Linked DNA regions of Notamacropus eugenii. The protein of the gene in region 1 interacts with the protein of each later gene in a pairwise test. Links are inferred from orthologs where the notes say so. Each region holds a gene or a part of one and is shown in the gene's direction. Other genes may lie near its edges. The genes, in order: CLK3 and OAS2.

The links.
Region 2: the proteins of CLK3 (region 1) and OAS2 interact in binary tests that used the Homo sapiens proteins (3 or more experiments, as listed by UniProt). The two-hybrid records come from large-scale screens. The link is inferred for Notamacropus eugenii from reciprocal best matches to the Homo sapiens genes CLK3 and OAS2.

Annotation. Positions count from the first base shown.
Region 1 is NC_092872.1:241,550,784-241,562,054, reverse strand, and holds the start of CLK3 (dual specificity protein kinase CLK3), read left to right. Parts: upstream 1-6,232; 5' UTR 6,233-6,502; coding exon 6,503-6,526; intron 6,527-7,079; exon of another isoform or gene 7,080-7,185; intron 7,186-11,271. UniProt on the Homo sapiens protein: Dual specificity kinase acting on both serine/threonine and tyrosine-containing substrates. Phosphorylates serine- and arginine-rich (SR) proteins of the spliceosomal complex.
Region 2 is NC_092875.1:33,197,711-33,208,127, reverse strand, and holds the start of OAS2 (2'-5'-oligoadenylate synthase 2), read left to right. Parts: upstream 1-5,155; 5' UTR 5,156-5,274; coding exon 5,275-5,472; intron 5,473-9,127; coding exon 9,128-9,341; exon of another isoform or gene 9,342-9,410; intron 9,411-10,417.

The DNA of each region.
Region 1 (11,271 bases):
TGATTTTTGCCTTTCTCTTAATCCCCAATTGATGGGCATCCCCTCAGTTTCTAATTCTCTGCCACCACAAAAAGAGCAGCTATGAATACTTTTGTCCTTTCTCTGTTTCTTTGATGCACAGTTAGTAGTCTGTTGGGCATAATTCCAAATTGCTTTCCAGAATGATCAGACTAGTTCACAGATACAACTGTGCATGAGTGTACTAATGCCTCTCTACCATTTACCATTTTCCTTTCCTGTCATCTTAGTTAATCAGATGAGTAAGAGATAGTGCCACAGAGTTGTTTTGATTTGTATTTCTCTAATTTTTAGTAATTTAGAGCATTTTATATAACTGTTGATAGCTTTAATTTCTTCCTCTGAAACCTATGTCTTTATATCCTTTAACCATTTGTTAATTGAGAAATGGCTATTATCCCTGTAAATTTGACTCAATTCCTATATATTCTAGAAACAAGACTTTTACTAGGGAAACCTGTTGCAAAGATTTTTTCTTCCAGCTTCCTGCTTTTCTTCTAATTTAAGTTGCATTGATTTTGTTTATGCAAAAAACATCTTAATTTCATATTATTAAAATTACCTATTTTACCTCCTATGAACCTCTCTATCTCTTCTGGCAACTACTTCTACAGGTCCTTCAACCCCTGTCCCCTCAGTAGCCACAGCTACCGACGACCCAAAAAATAAATTTTCCATGATCAAAGTTGTTGTTACTGTCATGTGATTCAAGATCTGGAATGAGTATGGTTTTTATCTGTGGAAATAATAATGCATTACCATTTGCTTTGTTGCCATACCCTAAGAATCATTAGACCTTTACATATGAAATTTCCCATGCATGCTGTCTCTCTCACAATTTTTTGAAGGAAAGGGCTATCTTGCTTTACTATTTATATTCCTAATGCTTAGCACTTGGCACATTGCTCTTAAAAAGCAATTTTTCACTCCTTCATTCCTTTCTTGCTGTGCTTCTGACTCTATGGACTTCATCACCTGACTCCCTCCCCACCAGCCTTTCAGCTGTCTTGAGTGTGTTGTTTTCTCCCACTAAAATGTAGTCTCCCTGAGGCTAAGGACTATTTTTCTTTTTATTTGAATACTCAGAATTAAGCACAGTGCCTGGCACACAGTGAGTATTTAATAAATGTCTGTTAACTGTTGTTAACCTCATTCATTTGTCAACTGCAACTTACAGTTTTAAAGAGTTGCCTAGACCCTATAACAGCAAGCAAAGTAGGATTTGTTTGTTTGGAGTTGTTTTCCAGGCTCAGGCTAAATTGTGAGCACCTTTGAACTCTAAGAGTTCACAACTGTGCTGAGTCATGTAGGTTTCATGCCTATTGATTCTGAGTCAATCAGGATCCGAGTCTTCATTATATATACTGGGAGGTTAGTATTTTACTGGGGGGGGGGGGATGGAGGATGGATTATGAATTATGAATTATGAGAAGGATCTTGTGATTGCCTGGTCGAGACTCTGAGTGGTTGTATGTTCAGCGCCCCCTCCCGTACTCCCACTGCTTAGATGTAAAAGCTCTCTGGATCTAGGAATGTATGTAAAGCGTATAGCAGTGTTGCTTTGATTCAGGCAGTAAGAGCCCTGTCAGTTTTTATTTCTCTGTATTTTCTCTGTTTGTTGAATAGATAGGAGGTGTGGTAGCTTTGGAAATGTAAAAGATAAAAAGATGTGTCTCGAAGCATTTGGTTGAACTAATTAAAGTGATTGTTGACCCCTCAAATTGCCTTTCCTTTTATAAATGCAGATCTAAGAACCCCCCCACCCCATATGTCAGAGTGCTCACTGATACAGACCCATGGTGTCAAACTCAAATAGAACCAGGGACCACTGATCCATATAGGATCCCTGCAGGCCACATATTGATTTAGCTTTAAAATCTAATATTATTGGTACTTTTTATTTATTGAATATTTCCTAATTACATTTTAATCAGGCTCTAGCCACACTCAGGAGTGTTAGGGCTACCTGGGATCAGTGGCTCACATGTTTGAATACCTCTGGTCTAGAGCATTGGAAAGTTAAGTGACTTTTCCAGAGTTTCTATGCCTTGAACTCAGGTCTTCCTGACTTTGAAGCAAGTGAGTGATCTACTATGCCTTGCTGTCTCTGACATAGTACAAAATAGATACAAGAATACTGGATTTGGAACTAGAGGTCCTGGGTTCAAATCTTGATTCTGTATGACCTTAGGCAAGTCTTTAACTGATGTAAGCCTCAATTCTTTCAGACCAGAAAACTTGTAAGCTCTAAATCTATAATCCTGCGACCCTGTGAGATCCTTTGTGTTAGTGCCAGTCACAGCTTGACAAATTCCACCCCCAGGTTACTATTGTCATCATCTATCTCCACTCATTCTTGTGTCCTGCTGAAGAATGTCACACTACAATGTCCACCAGGTCTGCTAAAAATTTATATTATCTATTCTTTATTGCATCCCACCTGTTGTGATGCAATTTATTTTGTTCTTTCATGACTGCCTCCTTCTAAGGCTCATCGCAGCAACTATTCCAAACTTTTTCTTTTCTCAAATCCATAGTAACCACTCCTCTCTCTCTCTCTCTCTCTCTCTCTCTCTCTCTCTCTCTCTCTCTCTCCCCCCCCCCTTCCTCTCTTCCTCCCCCCCTCCCCAAAGGACCCAACCACTAACCATGACTTCTGTGTTTCCATCTCATCAATGGCTCATAACCCCCTTACCCCATTCTCTATTCTCTCCTGAGAAGTAGAGGTCTCTGCTACTTTGGCTCTTGGTTCCTTCTTTCCAAGTCTCTACTAGGAGCTTGCCACCTTGATCATTCCCTCTCTCTGGTCCATTGGCTCCTTCCCTGCCACCTACAATGATGCCCAGGTCCTCCCATCCCACTCTCACAATTTTGTCACTTGACCCTCTAATTCTCTCAAACTTTCTTCCTCCATCTCTCCTCCCTTCCATAGCCAAGTTCCAGGAAAAGATTGTTACATTCTTTGCTGTAATTACGTTTTTATTTCCCAGTCACTTGTCAAACCCCTTGTAATCTGATTTCAGATCCTGTCACTCAACTAAAAATGTTTCATATTTTATTGATATTTTTTAAAGCATCACTTTTATTTCAAATATGTCCCTTCCTCCCCTCTCCATAAAGATAGGTTGTGCAACAAAGAGTAAAAAAGAAAAAAAAAGTTCATCAAAATTAACCAATACAGGAATCTAGTTTGATAGTAGATATGTTCCATGCCCACAGTCCTTCACCTATCCTAAGGAGAGAGGGAGAAAGGTGTATTTTTTCACAATGTTTTGGAAATGTTATTGATCATAGTATTCCAGAAATCTTTTTGGTTGTTCTCTACACTTGCATGGCTACAGTCATACCAATGATCTTTTAAGCCCCAACTCTAGTTCTCATTTAACTTAACCTCTGCAGCTTTTGACATTGTCAACTCCTTCCCCCTCTTCCTGAATTCTCTCTCCTTTCTTGGCTTTTGGGAGGCTGCTGTATTTGTTTCCTCCTACCTGTCTGAGGGCTCCTTCTTAATCGCCTTTGTTGTACTATATCATCCGTTTGCCAACAACAAGCTTCAGTGTCCTTGAAGGCTCTGCCTTCAGCTCTCTTCTCTACTCTCTGTACACACTCTTCCTCTTCCTCTTGATGATCTCAATCTATTCCCATGGGTTCAATTATTATCTCCATGCAAATAACTCTTGGCCCTCAAGTCTCTCTTGAGCCCCAGTCCCACACTGCCAACTAGAGTGGGGAGGAAGAATGGTATAGTGGAGAGCACATTGACTCTGGAGTTATAAGACGGGTTCAAATCCTTACACCTACTATCTGTGTGACCTTGGTCACCACATTTTAATTCTCTAGGCCTCAGTTTCTTTCATCTCTATAATAAGGGGGTTGGACTAAATGATGTCTAAGGTTCTTTTCAACTGTATATCTATGAACTGTAAGATGACCATAGCTACACTGCCCATCAGTTCAAACTCTATGTGTCTAAAATGGAGCTCATTATAGATTACTCCCCAAACCATCCTTCCTCCAAACTTCCCTGTTTCTGCTAAGGACACCACCAACTATCCAGTCACCCTGTTTTCTATTTCTGTATTCCCAGTCCCAAACATAATGACTGGCAAATATTAGTCACTTAAACACTTGTTGACTTCTTGAACGTTCTGTAGAGTGCCCCCTGGCTCCCCTTCTTGGCATTATGCTTCATATTGCAGGGGTGCTCTAGGCAAGGGGAGCATAATCTACCACCCTTCTCTGTTTGCTCCCTACCCATCAAAATATACTCTGAGTGAGAGAATGAATAAATCAAGACTTGGCAGGTCGCCTCTCAAAGGGTGCTGGCCCATTGTTTCAGCCTTGTTAGCCCCCCAAAGGGAGGGACAAGATCTATTTATAACTCCTAGCTCAGGCTCTCTGGCAAACAGGACCCAAATACAAATTTTTGAATGACAATAAAAATAATGTTATTGCTGAGGGGTGGAATGTTTGTACAGGCCATTTGCATAGGGCCTTACAGCTCACCAAAATTTTCACACCTTCTCTCCTTAGAAAAATAATAGCCCTTCAAGCATTAAAAACTCTGATGACAACGCAGTTCCAGAAAAAGAAGCCTGACATCTTGCCAGAGAAAGGGATGGACTTGAAATATAGAATGAGACATGCATTTTGGACATGGCCCTAATGTGGGAATTTGTTTTGTTTAACTTTGCATATGTATCACAAGCATTTTTTTCTTTATTGTTCAATAGGTAGGGATGGGAGAGAAAATATATTCTTATTAATAAGAAAAAACAAAGGGAGAATGGCCCTTTAAATTAGATCAGGGATTATTATACCCATTTTAAAGATGAGGAAATGGTTTTGACCAAAGATAAGTACGTACTAAGGGGTAGAATAAAGATTCAAATCTAGGTCTTCTGATCTCTAGACCAGAATTTTGTGGATTATTTTTTTCACTAAATCACCCTGATGCAATTCTTCCCTGGGCAGGACTCAGCTCCCTCAGAAAGACAGCATGTCAGGGTGTCAGAGCACAGGAAAATACCTGGTACCTGGAGATGGAAGCCTTTCTGCAGTTCTTACAGCCGGTTGAGGACGGTGTTTCCTCCAGAAGACCCTCCCTCTCTAGATGCTTAGTGACAGTTCCCCATTGGCACAATCCCTAGTCACTGTGATATGTGAAGAATCAGCAGGAGTTGCTGCATCATCTTAGCAAAGTGAAGCCCATGCAAGAGTATAAAACAAGGGTCATGGGAAGAAATGACTCCACAACTGAAGGGGTCAGGAAAAAGGAAGGGGACATTTGGGCTGATTGCTAAAGGATACAAAGGATTCCAAGAGACAGAGATGAGAGCAGATTGCCTCTGCAAAGGCTTGGAGATGGGAGATACACACAGGCACTCATCTACTCACACATACAGGATGATGAGATACAGGCTGGTGACTCAGAGGACAGAATAATCACCCAGGGCTTGGCTAGTATTGCATGTGTTTTCAAAAGCCCTGGCATTCTGAAGCCTATTTGAGGAGTCAGTCAGACAAAGAACCCCATTTCTCAGACAGCAGCTGAGGTTCCATGAAGGGGTGACTGGCTCCAGCTGGCACACAGCTAGCTGCTCTGGCAGTGGTAAGAGGCCTTTGGGTTTCGTGGCAGAGGAAAGGGGGCTTAGCTTCTTGGGGCCAAGGCTTTACATCAGCCTCAAGCCTAGAGCAGTTTCTAACATTTCTTTTCTCCTTTCACCTCCTCTTCTGGACCAGGGGAAACATCCTTCCTCCTTTCTCCCCACCCCGATCAGTTCCAGATGGGGGCACCTGGCAAGGTTGGTGTTTCTCTCCTTTCTTATGCTCAGCCACCACTGTGGACAAGGTGGTTGGGGCTTCTTGGCCTGAGTCCTTCAGGATGAGAAGGACTAACAAGGAGAGAGGGGCTAATTCCTACTGGTAGGAAAATGCAGCATCACAAAGTGGCCCCGTGTAATCAGTGTATGGAGTGGGTTATGCCAAGGCTGTGGGTGAACCGGACAGGCTGGCACATGAGGGCGTTCTGCTCAGCTAGAGATTAACTATAGAGATCTTTGTTGAAATCCAGGTGCTTTCTTTTATCTGCTTCAAGTATTTGGTGAGAGGTAGTGGTTGTGCTGTGGGAAGAGCCATTAGGCTTGGAGTCAGGACTGAGTGGTGGCAACTGTGTAGCTCGGGGCAAAGTTCTGGGCCCCGTTTCCACCTCCTTGAGGGGTTGGTCTAGACTAGCTTCCTGTGTGGGGCTAGGATGGGTCTTGGGGAGCCTTTAGTTAGCGAGGCCACTTGTTTCCCCAAGTCTTCAGGGCCGGACAGAGAGCCGAACTGGCTTCCTCTTCTGGTCAGTCTGGAGAGGTCCCCGAACGGCGGCCCCGAGGCAGCCTTACCTAGCAGGCTTAAGAGTCAGAGGCTTGGCAGAAGCACAGGCAGGTGCCCAGGGCTCCCCAATTGTCTCCGTGGGTGCAGCCAGCTGCCCTGAGAGATGGTGAGCTCCCCATCCTTGCAGGTATTCAACCAGGAGACTGACGACCCAAGAAGGGACTGATTCCTTTTAAACTAGTAAGGAGGTGGCTTCGGAAGCCTCTTGGGGGGTCTTTGTGTGGCAGGGCAGGGAAGGGCTCCAATCGCTATGAGTCACACACAACCCAACCAGGTCTGGGGGGTGTCTGGGGGGATCCTGCAGGTGGGGATCGCAGTCCCGCTCAGGTATGTCGCCACGTGGGGAGGGGAGGGCCACGGAGGTGGGCCCAGGAGCGGACGTTTGGGGAGCCGGGCCGCCGGAGGACCGGCCAGTCCTCCAGGAACAACGAATGCCAGCCTAGAGCGGCGGCGAAGAAGCGCTGCGGAGCCACTCTAGGGGCGGGGGCGGGGGCGGGGAGGAGGCGAGAGGGGGTGTGTACCGGGCCGTGGCGTCGGCACGCAGGGCGGGCCAGGAAATTAGAGGGCGGGGCCTCGGGGGCCCGAACGAAGGGACGGAGGGGGCGGGGCCTCGGCGGCACGCAGGGCCCGGCGGGGCGGGGCCGCAGCTGCGGCGGGGGGAGGGGAGCCCAGGGCAGGGGAGGGGCGGGGCCGCCGCGGGCGGAGGCCGCAGCCCGGAGCCGGAAGCGGAAGAGGCGCCAGGAGCTGGGAGCGGGGCCTAGCTGGAGCTGGAGCGCCCGGGAGACGGTGAGAGCACCCCCCTCCCGCCGTCATCGGCATCCCCTTCCCCTCCTCCGCCCTTCCCTCCGGCCTGGTGCGTGGGTTGCGAGCGGGGATGGCGGGAGGCCGCGGCTCCTCCCCCTTTGGGCGCCCTCCCTTACTCCTGACCTCTCACCCCTGACCCCGCCAACCCCTATTGGGCCCTCCGACCCCACCTCGACACTACCCTCCCGAGGACCTCGGCTCGGGCCTGGGGGCGGCGGGAGACCACGACCTTTAAAGCCCTCCCGCGCCCTAAAAGTCCCACCCTCTGGAAGTCGCCTTCCGTTCTTAAAAGTCCTCCCTCCGCTGCCCGTCACCCCCATTCCCTTCTCCACCCAAATCCGCCCCGCTATTAAAGTCGCCCCCCGCCCTCAAGATTCTCCCCCGCCCTTACTCCCCCACTCCCTGACCCCGTCAGGCTTCCACCTTAGACTCCCCCATAACATTTGCCGTTAACTCCTTCCTTTCTCCCCCTTAAATCCCCCCAGGCTCTTAAAAGCCCCCCGCCCTAAATGGCCAAGCCCCCCTGCTAAAACTCTTAAAATTAATTCCCCCCGTGTCTCCCCCCATGGACATGCCCAAGGTGGCTCCAGCTGAAGTCTCCCCTCCCCCATTGTGGATGCCCTAAACCCGGTCCACTTATCTTTGAAAATCTCCGTTTTCTCCTAAAATCCCCACCCTCTTCTGCCCCTAATCCTTCCTCCCCCTCCTAAAATCCGAGCTCCGTCCGGATCAATGCGGGGCCTCGCCTCCCTGCCCCCCATCCCCCCCACCTCCGTCACCGCCCCCCCCCACCCTTCCCAGATGGGCCACCCGGGCTAAAATGCCCCGCCCCTTTGCCAATATCGCGGCCCCTGGAATCCCACCCACTAGATACATTTCACCCTGGAAATACAATTATACCTTCCCTCTTCCTTCCGAAATTAACGTGTGGGAAAGATCCGCGCTCCCCAGTGCCCCTTTCCTCAGGCTGGCCCCCCCACCCAAGTTGTTAGCCTGCTGAGCCCACTGCCAGGTGTGCCCGGGGCTCCGGCAGATGTTTGGCTTGGTCTCCCTTATGCCGCCACGCCCACCCCCTTGCTCTGGCCTGGTACCGTATGGCAGCCCGTGGAAACTGAGACTGTGGGTTGGGGGGCGGGGTGACCCACAGAAAGATATGCTGCAGAACCCCGGTGAAGGTATCTCAGCTATTCCAGGAAAGCAAGGCTGGGGAGTCCCCAAAGTAAGATAAGTATTCACAGCTGGGCCCCAGCTGGGTCCTGGGCTGAGGAAAAGAGCAGTGTTTTTGTTGTGATAATTCCAGTCCTGAAAATGAAAGAGATACTTGAGGCTGCAGCCCGGGACTTGAACCTGGTGTTTTCTTACTTGGGGTATGAACACCTCATATCTTTTGCTTTGCCGCTTTTCTCACCTTTGACTATGTGGTTTGACCTCCCCCTCACTCAGCCTGGGTAGAGCAGAACTGGGGTAGGACTTTATAGAGACAACCCCTTTGGCAAAGCAGAATTGGCTGCCTTTCATCTTCCTTCCTCTGGCCCGTTTTCCAGTGCCCTTGAAAAGAAAAATGTTCAACCTCTGTGGTGTGGATTTGAGAGATGGGGGGAGATGAAGTGCCAGCAGTAGTGGCACCAGCAGCCCTCCAGCATAACTGTGGGGATCCTGGGGGAGGGGAGAGGGCAGGTGCTAGCCGTGGCTCAGCTAGATGTTCTCGTTGGCCCAGTTTTCCTAATGCCAGCAACATGTGAAAACTGACAAGAAGGCTGTGCCCTGAGTACCTCTGAACAGACAGCTGGCATCTTAACAGCGTGGCATCTGGACTTGGTTTGACTTTTCCCATTCCTCAGCATGCGGTAGGAAAACTAGAGCAGGTTTGGAAGTACTTTTAAAAGCTGTTCTATTCCATAGCTCACCTCAGAAACTTGGTATTTTAATCTGTTGGGCCCTCCTGGGGTGTTAATGAGTCTGAGAAATGGGCCTTAAGGCTAGCAGACTTTTGGAGGGAGGTGAACCTGGAAATCTTTCATGTCAGATCGAGCCATGGGCAGCTTTCCACCCACTTTTTTGGAAGTGAGTTTTAAAATTCTGTATTCCTCTGAATAAGACTACCCCTAACCAGGTTTTTACCTCTAAAATGAAATCTCTTCGAAAGGAATATACATACACACACACAAACTCACATACTCTCTGTGTGTATACACATATATATGTATGATTATTTTTCATTATTAATTCCTTTTGGATGCTAAGATTTAAGGAGACTTTTGGGTGTGTGTTGCCAAAGGGAGGCTAACAGGCTCTGTATGCTGTTGCCATATGGTTTCTCTCTGTCTGCTTTTCTGTTCTGGGTCATTTGAGTTCCATAGAGCCACTTTGGCAGTTGAAACCCAGCAGCCTGGGTTTTAGTGGGCAGCTGAGAGAGAGATAGCCCTATCTTTGTGGAGGTAGGATCTCCTCCTGCCTAAGCCACCCTCCCTCCCAGTGGTCCTGCCCAGCCTGGGCAGTGAGGAGAAGGCAAAGAGAGTCGTTGGGCTTTGCAGTAAGATTACCTCTCTAACGTAAGGGCTGGCCCGCAGGTAGGAACTTTCAAGGGATTCCACCACCTTACCAGTTTCAGGGGCATCCACTGCAGACTCTTCTAGCTCTTAATACCATCTGAGAGACCAGGAAGAGTTTAACTATGTGTATGGAACTAAGAATATTATTATAACCTACATAGGTTTGTTATAAACTAGATTTGGGGGGAAACCTAGCAGTGTTATTGGAATCCATTCTGTACTTAGGAATAGAGCTGGCCATTGATTTAATGGACAGCAGGATGTCATTTTGGACTGTACAAGACATTTCTCTAAAAACTCCATCTAGGACTTGGAGTCAAGAAGACCAGAATTCAAACTCTTGTCTCAGTCACTATGTGTGACCTTGGTGAGGCATTTCACCTCAGCCTTAGTTTCCTCATCAGTAAGATTGGGATAATAATAGCATTTACCTCCCAGAGTTGAGGATAAAATGAGAAAATGTGTAAAGCACTTTGTAAACCTTAAAGAGTTATATAAATACAAATTACATCACCATTATCATAATCATTATTCCTGGACTCCTCTGATATCTTGCTATGGCCTGGAGGTGAACCAGGTCCTTCAAAACTGTGCTCATGAAACTCCAACTCTGGCCACGTCTTTCTAAGTTGAAGAGTCTTCAAGGACAAGGCCAGGGACAGACTTTATGTCAGAGGACCAGTCTAGTTAAATGTGAAGAGGCTTGTCACTGGGGTAGCCATAGGATGGCAAATATTCTTTGGCACCTTGCCAATAGGGGTTTTGCTCAGTATAAATAATCATAAGATTACCATATCAATGAAACCAGATTTTTAAAAGCACAAAAGAAACACTCTACAGTCTACCGGGACATGAATGAGGGGATGATCTTAGAGGCTCAGATAGTAATCTTTAGCCTAAAGCAGATTCCTAAATCATTTCAAATCCTGTGATTCAGAATGAGAACCTGCGTTAAAATGTCAAATTGAATCAGGCCTGGCCCCTACTCTGGCCACAGTGAAGCATTCTTGGTGGCTATTAGATACATATTTTTATTCCCTAGCTTGGTTGCTTAGCCTTGGGGATAATTACAGGAAACCAACATAAAATTAGTCAGCTGATCTTAAAAGGCATTTTAAACGTAAAGCATTAACCCAAACTCAATCTGAAGTTGTTAGCAGTGCCTCTATAGAATAGTTATCCACCTGGAGTTCTACTTTTGAGGTACCTTTTCAGCCTCATAAGGTAGGAGTTGTGAAAGGGATGGAAAATCATCAGTGAGCATTGTGAGGCACAAAGCTACTTTTTCTCGGTCATTTGGAAAAGTCTGTGCAGTCACCCAGGCCACAGCTTCAGTTTTAGTCACTGTTCTCTTTAGTAAGCAATACAGTTAGTACAGAACTGACCAGCCAGTTGGAGGATTGTTGTAAGTGGTGAGGAGAGGGAGGACAGGACAGGGGTGGATGGAATGAATTAATATTGTATGCCTGTCAAGCTAACAAAAAGGTATATTCCATGAGTGGGCCTCCACGTTCAG
Region 2 (10,417 bases), on another chromosome or scaffold:
AGTGCTGTTGTGAAGTGCAAATGAGATAATATCTGTAAAGGGCTTTGCAAACCTTGAAGAGCTAGAGTAACGTCACAGCATATCAGAGCTAAGAGGGCCCTTAGAATATAGAATGTTAGAAGTAGAAGGGAATCTGTAAAATAAATGAATTTTATTGATGCTTTGCTTTTATGTTGACCAGATTTCCCATTTTATCCCTTCTCCTCCCCTCCCAGAGGTCACTGATTACAGCAAAGTTGTTTTATTTTAAGAAAGGAAGAGGAGGAAGAGAGGGAGGAAAGGAGGAAAGAAGGAAGAAAGGGAAGCAAGGAGGAAGGGAGGGAAACAAAGAAGGAAGAGAAGGAGGGAGGGAATGAAAGAAGAAGAAAAGGAAGCAGGAAATGGATTTTTACTATCTTTTGTATTTACATGACCTAGATTTCCCCTATATCTCTACTTTTCCCTCCCCAGAGAAAAGCTCCTTAGGATAAAGAGTGTTTTAACAAGGAAGAGAATAAAATGAAAAAAACTTAGTAACATATCAGAAAAATCCGGCCTTGTATGCAACATTGCACATGTATGGACTGACCTCTGTAAAGGAGCAGGGGAAAGTGTCTTCTCATCTTGCCTTTGGGACCTAACTTGATCTTAGTCATTTTGCAACTTTTTAACTTATTTATTGCTTTTTTTTGTGGCCATTTTTCTTTCTAGTTACATTGTTGCCTTCATTGTGTATTTTGATTTTCTGGCTTTGCTGTCTTCACTTTTTACCAGTTTGTAAAGGTCTTTTCGTGCTTCTCTCTATGTTTGTTTCTTAAAAGCCATTAAAATAATGTACCATGTTTGTTTGGCCACTCCCTAATCAGTGGGCATCTGCTGTGTTTCCAGTTTTTTGCCACCATAAAAAGAGCTTCTAAAAATATTTTGGATCATAGGAGACTTTCTTCTTCTTAGTGACGTCCTTTGGATATTTGCCTAGCAGAAGAGTCTATGGGTGAAAAGGGATGGACATCTTAGTTACTTTCTTTGCATACTTCCAAATTACATTCTAGAATGATTATGCCAATATATTGCTCCACCAACAATGTAGTGGTGTACCTGTCTTTCCACAACTCCTAGGATGAAATATATGGCATTAGAATTCTAGAACTGAAAGGAACCTTGGAGATCATAAGGAAACTGAAGTCCAAAGGTGACTGGCCCAAGCTCATATCATTTTCTTCCTACATCCTTTCCTCGCAAAAGATTTTGCCAAGAACACCACCCATCTCCCATTCCCTAATGCTCAAAACCTCAGAGTGCTAATTGCCTCTTTCTTATCTTTTCTTCCCTATGGCCAATGAAAGAAACATCAAGTCCATACTAGCCTTTCAAAAACTCAGTGTTACATGACATTCAAGTCCTTTGAAAACCTGTCATTCTCTGTTTCTCTGTTTTCCTCTGTCTCTGAATTTTTCTCTCCCTTTCACTGTCTGTTTCTCTCTCTCCCCCTTCTCATTCTCTCCCCTTCTTCTCCTTCTTTTTCTCCTTCTCCTTCTCCTTTTTCTTCTTCCTTTCTCTGTCTGTCCCTCCCTCCTTTCTCTGTCCATCTCTCCCTCTCTCTGTCTCTCTCTCTTTCTTTCTCCCTCCCCTCCTCTTCCTCCTTCCCTCATAATCTATTGGCTCCCTTCTTGCCACATAAAAACATGTGTAGTCCTTCTTTTTCTTTAAAAAAAAAAAAGCAAACAACTTCCCTCTACCATCTTCTCAACTGGTCATCCTAGATTTTTCTTCCCTTTCACAACTAAAATCCTAGAAAATATAGTTTACATTCACTGCCTCTACTTTCTCAACCTCTTGCAAACTGTTACCTCAAAGGGTGCCAGTGATCTCCTAGAATATAGATATTAAATCAACGATCATTTCTAGTCATCATACTTATTGATTTATCTGCAGTGTCTGACACTGTTGATCTCCTAACCTTGTTAATTGCCCACTTCTTCATGGTTTTTCATGACATAGTTTCTCTACTGGTTCTCTTCCTACCTACCTGGTGAACTGGAGTTTCCTTCCTAGAAAATCACCTCTGTTCTAGAGCCCCTTCTCCTCTCTCTATATAGTCTCTTCCATGATGATCCCATTAACTTCCATGGGTTCAATCATTATCTGTTATATAAAGGTAACTCCCAGAGGAGTGCATGTGTATGTGTGTGTATATATATATATGTGTGTGTGTGTGTGTGTGTGTGTGTGTGTGTGATACAGGTGTTTAGATATGCATATTTTGTATATATGTATATTTATAGATGAATGGATAGATAGATAGAGGTGTGTGTATGTGCGTGTGTGTGTGTGTACATCTTAGGCACCACCAACTGAATGATCCTTAGGCATCTCAAACACACCATGGCCAAAATGGAATATATTATTTGATGAAATCCACCACCTCTCCTCCAAATTTTCCTCTTTATGTCAAGTGTACCATCATTCTTCCAGTTACCCAGGTTCCCAAACTCAACATCATCTTCCTCTCCATATCCAATAAATGTCAAAGTCACAGATTCTACCTCTACAACAGATTTCATATCATAATCAAAATCCTATGGGAAAAAAGAGTCTATACTCATGGCCTCCACTTCTCAATCCCTTCTCCCCACTATTTCAGACTCTTAGCACCTTTGGTTGGAACTATTAAAACAGTTGCTGTTTCCAGTCTCTCCCTTGTCAATCTTTCTTCCCCATAACCACCAGAATAATCTCCTTAAAGCATCAACCCAGTCATGTCACCTCTCCATTCAAGAAATGCTAATCATTCCCTATTGCCCTTAGGATTAATTACAAAGTTGAATCGATACAATAATAATATTTCAGAAGCAAACAACTTTAGAAGACTTGAGAACTGTGATCGATGCAGTGGATCAGTGCAAAGCAGGCTGGCTACCACTTTCCTGATATGGATGGATACAAGATGCGGACAGAGATGTACATTCTTTGACATAGCAATACAGGAAATTATTTTGCTTGGTTAGGTGTATTTGTTACAAGGGTTTTGTTTTCTGCTTTTTATTTTTTCAATTGGAGCATGAGAAATGGGAAACAAGAAAAAATTGTTCATTGATTTTTGTTCATTGATTAGTTGTTAATTGATTTCTTTCATTTTTAAAAGTTTGTTTTTTTAAAAAAAGAGAATGAATTACAAACTCCCCTGTTTGCTATTTAAAACCCTACATTAACTGATTACAGCCAACCTTTCTGGTCTGATTGTTCATTACTCTGCTTCAAGTACTCCAGGTAAGTACTATAGTAAGACTGGTCTACTACCTCTACCCTAAACTCAATACACTGTTACCTCCATGCATTGACACAGGCCTAACCCTAGGTCTGGAATAGACTCCCTCCTCACCTCTACCTTCCAGAATCCTCATCTTCCTTCAAGGAAGCTCAAAATCCTAGCGTCTCAGAGATATCCAGAACAAACTGTTCAGCTCTATACCCAAAGCAGGAAAGTCAGGTATGACACCTCCTCCAGTTAGCCTCCCTTCCTTGAACCCTCAGCTGAAAGTCTTTTCTCTTTTCTCAAATAATCATGGCTAGCATTTATATAACACTTTAAGATTTGTAGAGCCCTTTACAAATATTCTCATTTTATCCTTTTAACAACCTTGGGCAGGGGAATCGGCACTTTTTATTATTCACATTCTACAAATGAGAAAACTAAGGCAGTTAGAGGGCAAGTGATTAAATGTCTGAGAAAGCGATCTATCCACTGTACCATCTAGCTATCTCAAGTACCCCTAGAATATTTTCTCTGGATCTCTCTTTTATCTCATTCTACCCTCTATCCTATGGTGGTGGAAATCTCTCAACAACAGCACACACTTTTTCAAACATGTTTCCATTTTACACCTTATTTAACAACCAGGGGCCAGCTAGGTGGCACCATAGTGTATAGCCTAGAGCCAGGAAGATTCATCTTCACGAGTTCAAATCTGACCTTAGACACTTACTAGCTGTCTGACGCTGATCTTGTTTGCCTCAATTTGCTCATCTGTAAAATGAGCTGGAGAAGGAAATGGCAAACCACTCCAGTATTTTTGCCAAGAGAAGCCCAAATGGGGTCCAAGAGAGTCAGAGAGGACAGAAAATGAAAAATAACAACAATTCAGAGGCCAGTTGTCAAGATCTGGTTTCTTCTTGTTTTTTCTTTTTTTTGAATATTAAGCTTCAAGCCAGTTTTTACACTCTCCTTTTTCATGTCATCAAGAAACTTCTTAATTCTTCACTTTCTGCCATTGGAGTGGTATCATCTGCATACTGAGACTGTTAATATTTCTCCTGGCAACCTTAATTCCAGCTTTTGGTTTGCCCACCCTATCCATTTGCATGATGTACTCTGTACATAAGTTGCATAAATAAGGGCTTTTTTTAGGGAGTTATTTCCTCATCCTGAAGTTCTTCTGGCAGAGGCTGGATAATTGACTATCAGGATGTTCCCCAGGAAGCCCCATGTGTATCTACAGCTTAGACAAATGCCCTGAGGATCCTTCCCACTCTGAGAGTCTATGACTTTGTGAACACCCCAATCCAGGTCCTCCAAACTGAAGGCTCTTTATACTATACTTGGGCATGTCTCAGTGAAACTCAGAAACCGACCAGGGAGGGAAGAATACACTTTCAGGTGATACACAACAAAGGACCTAGAACTTTCCCAAAGGGAAAAAAGACCCTCTTCTGCTCACATCCTCTATGAAATTAGGAAGTTAGAGTCTAGATTTGACATCTGAAATCTCTCCCAGCTCTGACATCTCCTGTTCTAAGGCCCCTCCCAGCTCTAACACTCCTTGTTCTAAGGCTTCTTGTAGGAGGTGGAATTTTAGCTGGGAAGTCAGGAAGTGGAGATGAGAAGGGAGAGCATGCTACGCCAATGAAAATGCCTGGAGTTGAGAGTTGGAGGGTCTTATGAAAGAAACAGAGGTCAGGGTCCTCCAAGCTCTTAAAACACTCCCTCTAAGCTCTGACAGACTGCTACTGATTCTGTCTCTAGCAGCATCTTTTTAAAAGGAAGTTAAGCAGATATCCAGACAGAATGCTGAGATATAAGCAGAGATTGGGAGGAGAAAGTTTATACAAGAGTCCAAAGCCTAATCAGAAGTGCAGAAGCCGGGGAAAGGGGCGGGAGGGGGCGGGAATGGCAGACAGAAACTGAAACCTAAATGAAACCATTTCATTTCTTCCTTCTGCTCCGAGTAAGCCTCTGCCAGAGGACTTGTCCACAAGCTAGCTTACCTGTAAAGTTAATACTTTGAAGGAGGGATAATGTTAAAATCTTTGTGGAGCTGGTGGTACGATCAGCCAGCACTTTACTTTGAGCGTGCTGAGAATCTAGATCGATTCATCCAGAATGAGCTACAGCCCCAAGAAAAGCATCTGCAGCAGATTGACAAAAGTATCGAGGACATCTGTGAGTTCTTGGAGAAACAGGATCCTCCCATTCAAGTGAAGGGTATAGCTGTGGTAAGCAGTGGGAGGGAGAGGGGGAAAGGCGGGATGAAGGGAAAAGAGAAGGGAGAGAGGAAAATGATGGGGGAGGGGAGAGAGAAGAAAAGGAAGGAGGAGAGGGGGGGAAGGGCAGGAAAAAAAGGAAAAAGGAGGGAGAGAGGAGGGTAGAAAAGAGAAAATGGAAAAGAGGGAGAGGAAAAGAATGGGGAATGAGGAGATGGGAAGGGAAAGGAGAAAAGGAAGGTGAAGAGGAAAAGGGCAGGGAAGAAGAAAGAAGAAAGAGGAGGGGAGAGGGAAATGAGGGATGAGGGAAGGAAGAAATGAAAGGGAAGAGAGATGGGATGAGAAAGGAGGAGAGATGGGAGAGGAAAGGAGAAAATGGGGAAAGAGGAAAGGAGGGGAAAGAAAAAAGGGGCAGAAAATCAATCAAGACAACAAGTTTTTATCGAGTACTCACTACTATGTACCAGGTACTGTTCTAAGGCTACAAAAAAAAAAAAATACAATCCCATCCCTACAGAAGCTTACATTTTCTGAAGAGAAAACATGTACAAATAAATATATGCAAAATATGCAAAATAATTTGGGGTGGGGATTTGCAGTGGTAGAGGTCCTCACACCTGGGGAGCAGGAAAGGCTGCGTAGACTGTAGAAGGTGGAATTTAATCTGATCTTTGAGGAAAACAAGGATTCTCAGAGGTGGAGGTGAGGAGGGAGGGTGCTCCAGGCATGAGGGACAGCCCGTGCAAAAACAGAGGTGGGAGACTAAATGAGGAACAGCAGGAAAGTCAGTTTTACTGGACCAAAAAGTGCTTAGAGGGGAATTATGTATAATCAATCTCAAAAGGTAGGTTAGAACCAAGTTATAAAGAGCTTTAAATGCCAGAATTTGTACTTGATCCTAGAGGTAATAGGGAGCTACTGGGGTTTATTGAACAGGAAGTGATATGATCAGATCTGTGTTTAAGGAATATTACTTTGGAAGTTGGGGGGCAGGGATTGGAAAGGATAGAGGATTGAGTGAGACTAGAGCAACATTTCAGAGGAAAGGTGAGGAGGGAGGGTCACATGGGGACCACAAAGATGAAGAGTAGGTTACAATAACCTTCTGTTTGGCCTCTCTGCATCAAGTGGTTCCCCACCATAATCCATTCAGCTGTCAAATTGATCTTCCCCCAAAGCTCAGGTCTGACCATGTCCCTCCCACTCTTCAGTAAACTTTCTCTCACCTCTAGGATCAAATGCAAAATCTTCTGTTTGGCATTCAAAGCCCCACCCACACACCTTTCTGGTCTTGCTCCCCACTATGTTTGATACAATCCAGCCGCGCTGGCCTCTTACAAGACAATCCATCTCCCAGCTCCAAGCATTTTCACTGACTGTCCCCCATTCCTGGAATTCTCTCCATCCTTATCTTCACCTTCTGGACTCATTGCACACAAGAATCTTGGTCCCTGATCCTCTGGACCCACAACCTCTACAGGACCGACCATTCTAATTGTCCCTTAACCTGTGCTGGTCATGTATGCTCTCCATAGAGGCAAAAACAAGGTGTCCAGCCACAATTTTTGTTCTTAGAGGCTTTTTTCCTGTAGTCTTATTTAGGCAGCCTCAGTCAAGCATTTATGGAGGCTGCGATGAATGAGGCTGCCAGCCCAGAGCTGTAACTGATCAGATCTAGGTGCTGTTGCCAACAGTGGGCACAGAACATGTGCCATGGATGCTCCTTGCCTCCTAATCAGTATTGGATGATTGTAGGGTAGGGTTTCACTCTGTAACTTAGGAAAGAGAAATAGAGTGGGAGACCAGAAAGGGAATTTCATAGTTCTGTGGAATGTCAGAGCTGGAAGAAACTTTAGGGAAACTGTGCCCCCCCATCCCCACCCCAAGGACTCACGCAGAGCACAGCCTATCCTAAATATTCTTCTCTTAGGAGATGAACAGGAGTGTGGACTGATGGCTCTATTAGTGCCCTTGGGATAAGATGCTCAGTAGACTGCTTTGGGGATTTTTAAAAATTGTGTTTTGATCATCCCTTTGTTTCCTAGCAAATCTACTTTTGAAATCTTCCTGCCTTTTCTTGGCTGAACTAAGGGGTAGATTTTCCCCAGGGGCAGCTAGGTGGTGCAGTGAATAGAGCACCAGTGCAAGAGTCAGGAGGATCTGAGTTCAAATCTCAGACACTTGACACTCACTAGCTGTGTGACCTTGGGCAAGTCACTTAACCCCAATTCCCTCATCCTGGGTCATCTCCAGACAGGTCACTGGATTCAGATGGCTCTGGAGGAGAAGTGAGGCTGGTAACCTGCACAGCCCTCCCTCACTCAAAACAAAGTGCAAGTCATGTTATTATTTCTCTGATGTCATGGTCTTCTTCAGCAATGAAGGATAAACGCACACAGATTTTCTCCTACATCTAATTCAGAACAAAACACTATGAGAGAAAGCTGGGATGGATGGGGAGGTAAGAGAGACAGCAGTCATGGAGGTCCTTTATCCTTACATTTCTGACCTCACTAGACTTTGCCTGGATGTCTGGTCAGCAACTCAGATTTAATCCAATTCAAAAGAGAGCTCATTATCTTTTCCTCTAAACCAGAAATTCCTCCTCTGAACCTTCTTGTTACTGTTGAAGTCTCCACCATCCCCCACATCACAGTTCTTTCCTCTTCATCACTCTGCCCAGCCAGTCAGCTGCCAAGTCTTGTCAGCTCCATCATCACAGTTCCCATCATTACATTGTCACAGTCCCTTCTTGCTTCTCATACCCCAGACCAGGCCCCTATCACCTCACCTGGATGCCTGAAATCATCTTCCATGTGATCTTCCCACTGCCAATCAATCTTTCTCCTTCTCCTTGTGTTGTGTTCTTCACAAAACTGACAAAAGATCCTAAGCTCTATGGTGGTTCATATCACTCCTTTCCCTAAAAATCTTCAATGGCTCCCTCTTCTCCAGGAAAAAATCCAAACTCTTCAGCCTTGCATTTAGTGAGCTCCAGGCTCTGATTCCTCCAAATTCATTCCCCTTTGGTCCCCTTCACATATTCCGTGCTCCAACTAAACTGTTCTGTAGACTCTACATAGTGGTTACCATGGGGTGCATTCCCTCCTCATCACCATCTCTTAGAACCCCCATCTTCCTTGGGCAGCTAGGTGACTCAGTGGATAGAGTACTGGGCCTGGAATCAGGAAGACCTGAGTTCAAATCCAGTCTTAGACATTTACCAGTTTATTCTCTGTCTGCCTCAGCTTAAGATAAAATGAGGAAATAATAACAGCTGAGTTATCGTGAGGATCAAATGAAATATTTTTAAAGTGCTTGGTACATAGTAGGTATTTAATAAATGCTTGTTTTCTCCCCCCGCCCCAAGATGTTGAATAGAGTAGAAGCCTTTTGAGGGTCAGGGACTGTTCAGTGTTTGTCTTTAAATCCCTCAGAAACCAAAGAACCTTTAGAAACATGAGCTATTACTAATATTTGTTTTCTAGGACAATCAAAGGGAGCTGGGACTATAGAGAAGGATTTCAAAATTCTGGTGTTGGAGAAGCCAAAGAGAGCTGGACTGGCTGGTTCTTCTTGCTTGGAGTCTCCTCCCACTGACTGTCTCATAAGTGATGGAGATCCCTCTCACTTTTGGTCCCACCACACATTTTCTTTTCTCTCATAGGGTGGGTCCTATGGCAGAGACACTGTTCTCAAAGGCCACTCTGATGGCACCCTTGTCATCTTCCACAAAGAACGATTTGAGGGAGACCTGATAAAGCTGAAGCTGCTGGCACCCATGGGGAAAGTCAAGGTAGTAGAGGATAAGCACCAGTTGATACTGACCGAGTCTGACCTATGCATTACCTTTGATGTGCTTCCCATCTTCAGTGTCTTGGGTAAGTACCCTGGACAGATACCATGTCAGCAGGTGATAGAAGGCATTGACTTTGGTAATAAGATGGCCACTGAAAGAATAAAGATGGGTCTTTAGTGGAGGATACCCAAGAGAGTAAAGGATCATTCTCTCCATTTTACAGATGAGAAAACTGAAGTTGAGAGGTAGCGTGCTTGTCCAAGGTCACACAATGACCTGTTTGTAGAGCCAGTATTAGAATCCTTTTTATTTCTTATAAAAATAATTTAATATTTGTTATAAAAATGACTTTCTAAGATATAACTACTTAATTTTTAAACCATTTCAAGGCAGAGTAACAGAAGAAAGTAAAAGTAAGCTAGTCAGTCAGTCAATCAACATTTACTGAATTCTTACTATGTTCCAAGCACTGTGCTAGGCACAGAGGATACAATGCTTGGCAAAAGATGACCCCTGTTCACAATCAAATAGGGAAGAAAACAAACAAATCAATATACATAAAAAGTCATATTTGGACTAAATAGGAAATAATTAATGGAGGGAAGGCTCTAAAATTAAGTGTTCCTGTAGAAGGTGAGATTTTAGTCAAAACTAGTCATTTGCTTTCATTTCATATAAGATCAAACTGACTGTTTTGCCTGAGTCTTTAGGACCATAGATTTGGAGCTGGAAGGGACCTCTGAGGTCATCTATAGGTGAGGAAACAGGTTGAGAGAAGTTAATGGATATTGTCATAGTCACATAGGCAGTCAAGGGCAAAAACTGAGTTTAAACTTCCATGTTCTTCCCATTCTACAATTCACTCTTTCATACAGCCCTTCTCTAACCCATAATCTGCCTGGTTTGTGGGCTGATCAAAGATAGACAAAATGTATCATTTCCCTTCTGTCTGTCTGCTCCTAGCTTTCTCCCAGAATTCTAATCATTTCCCATCATAGCCTGAGGCTTCTGACTTCTGACTTCTCTGGAATCTTCCCCAAGGAAGAGAAAACAGAACAGGTTATTGCTCCAGATGCCTACTTAAACATATTTATAGTCAGTGGAGCTCACCTTTCCAAAACTGAAAAACCACAGCTTAAATCTGGTCATTTATATTAC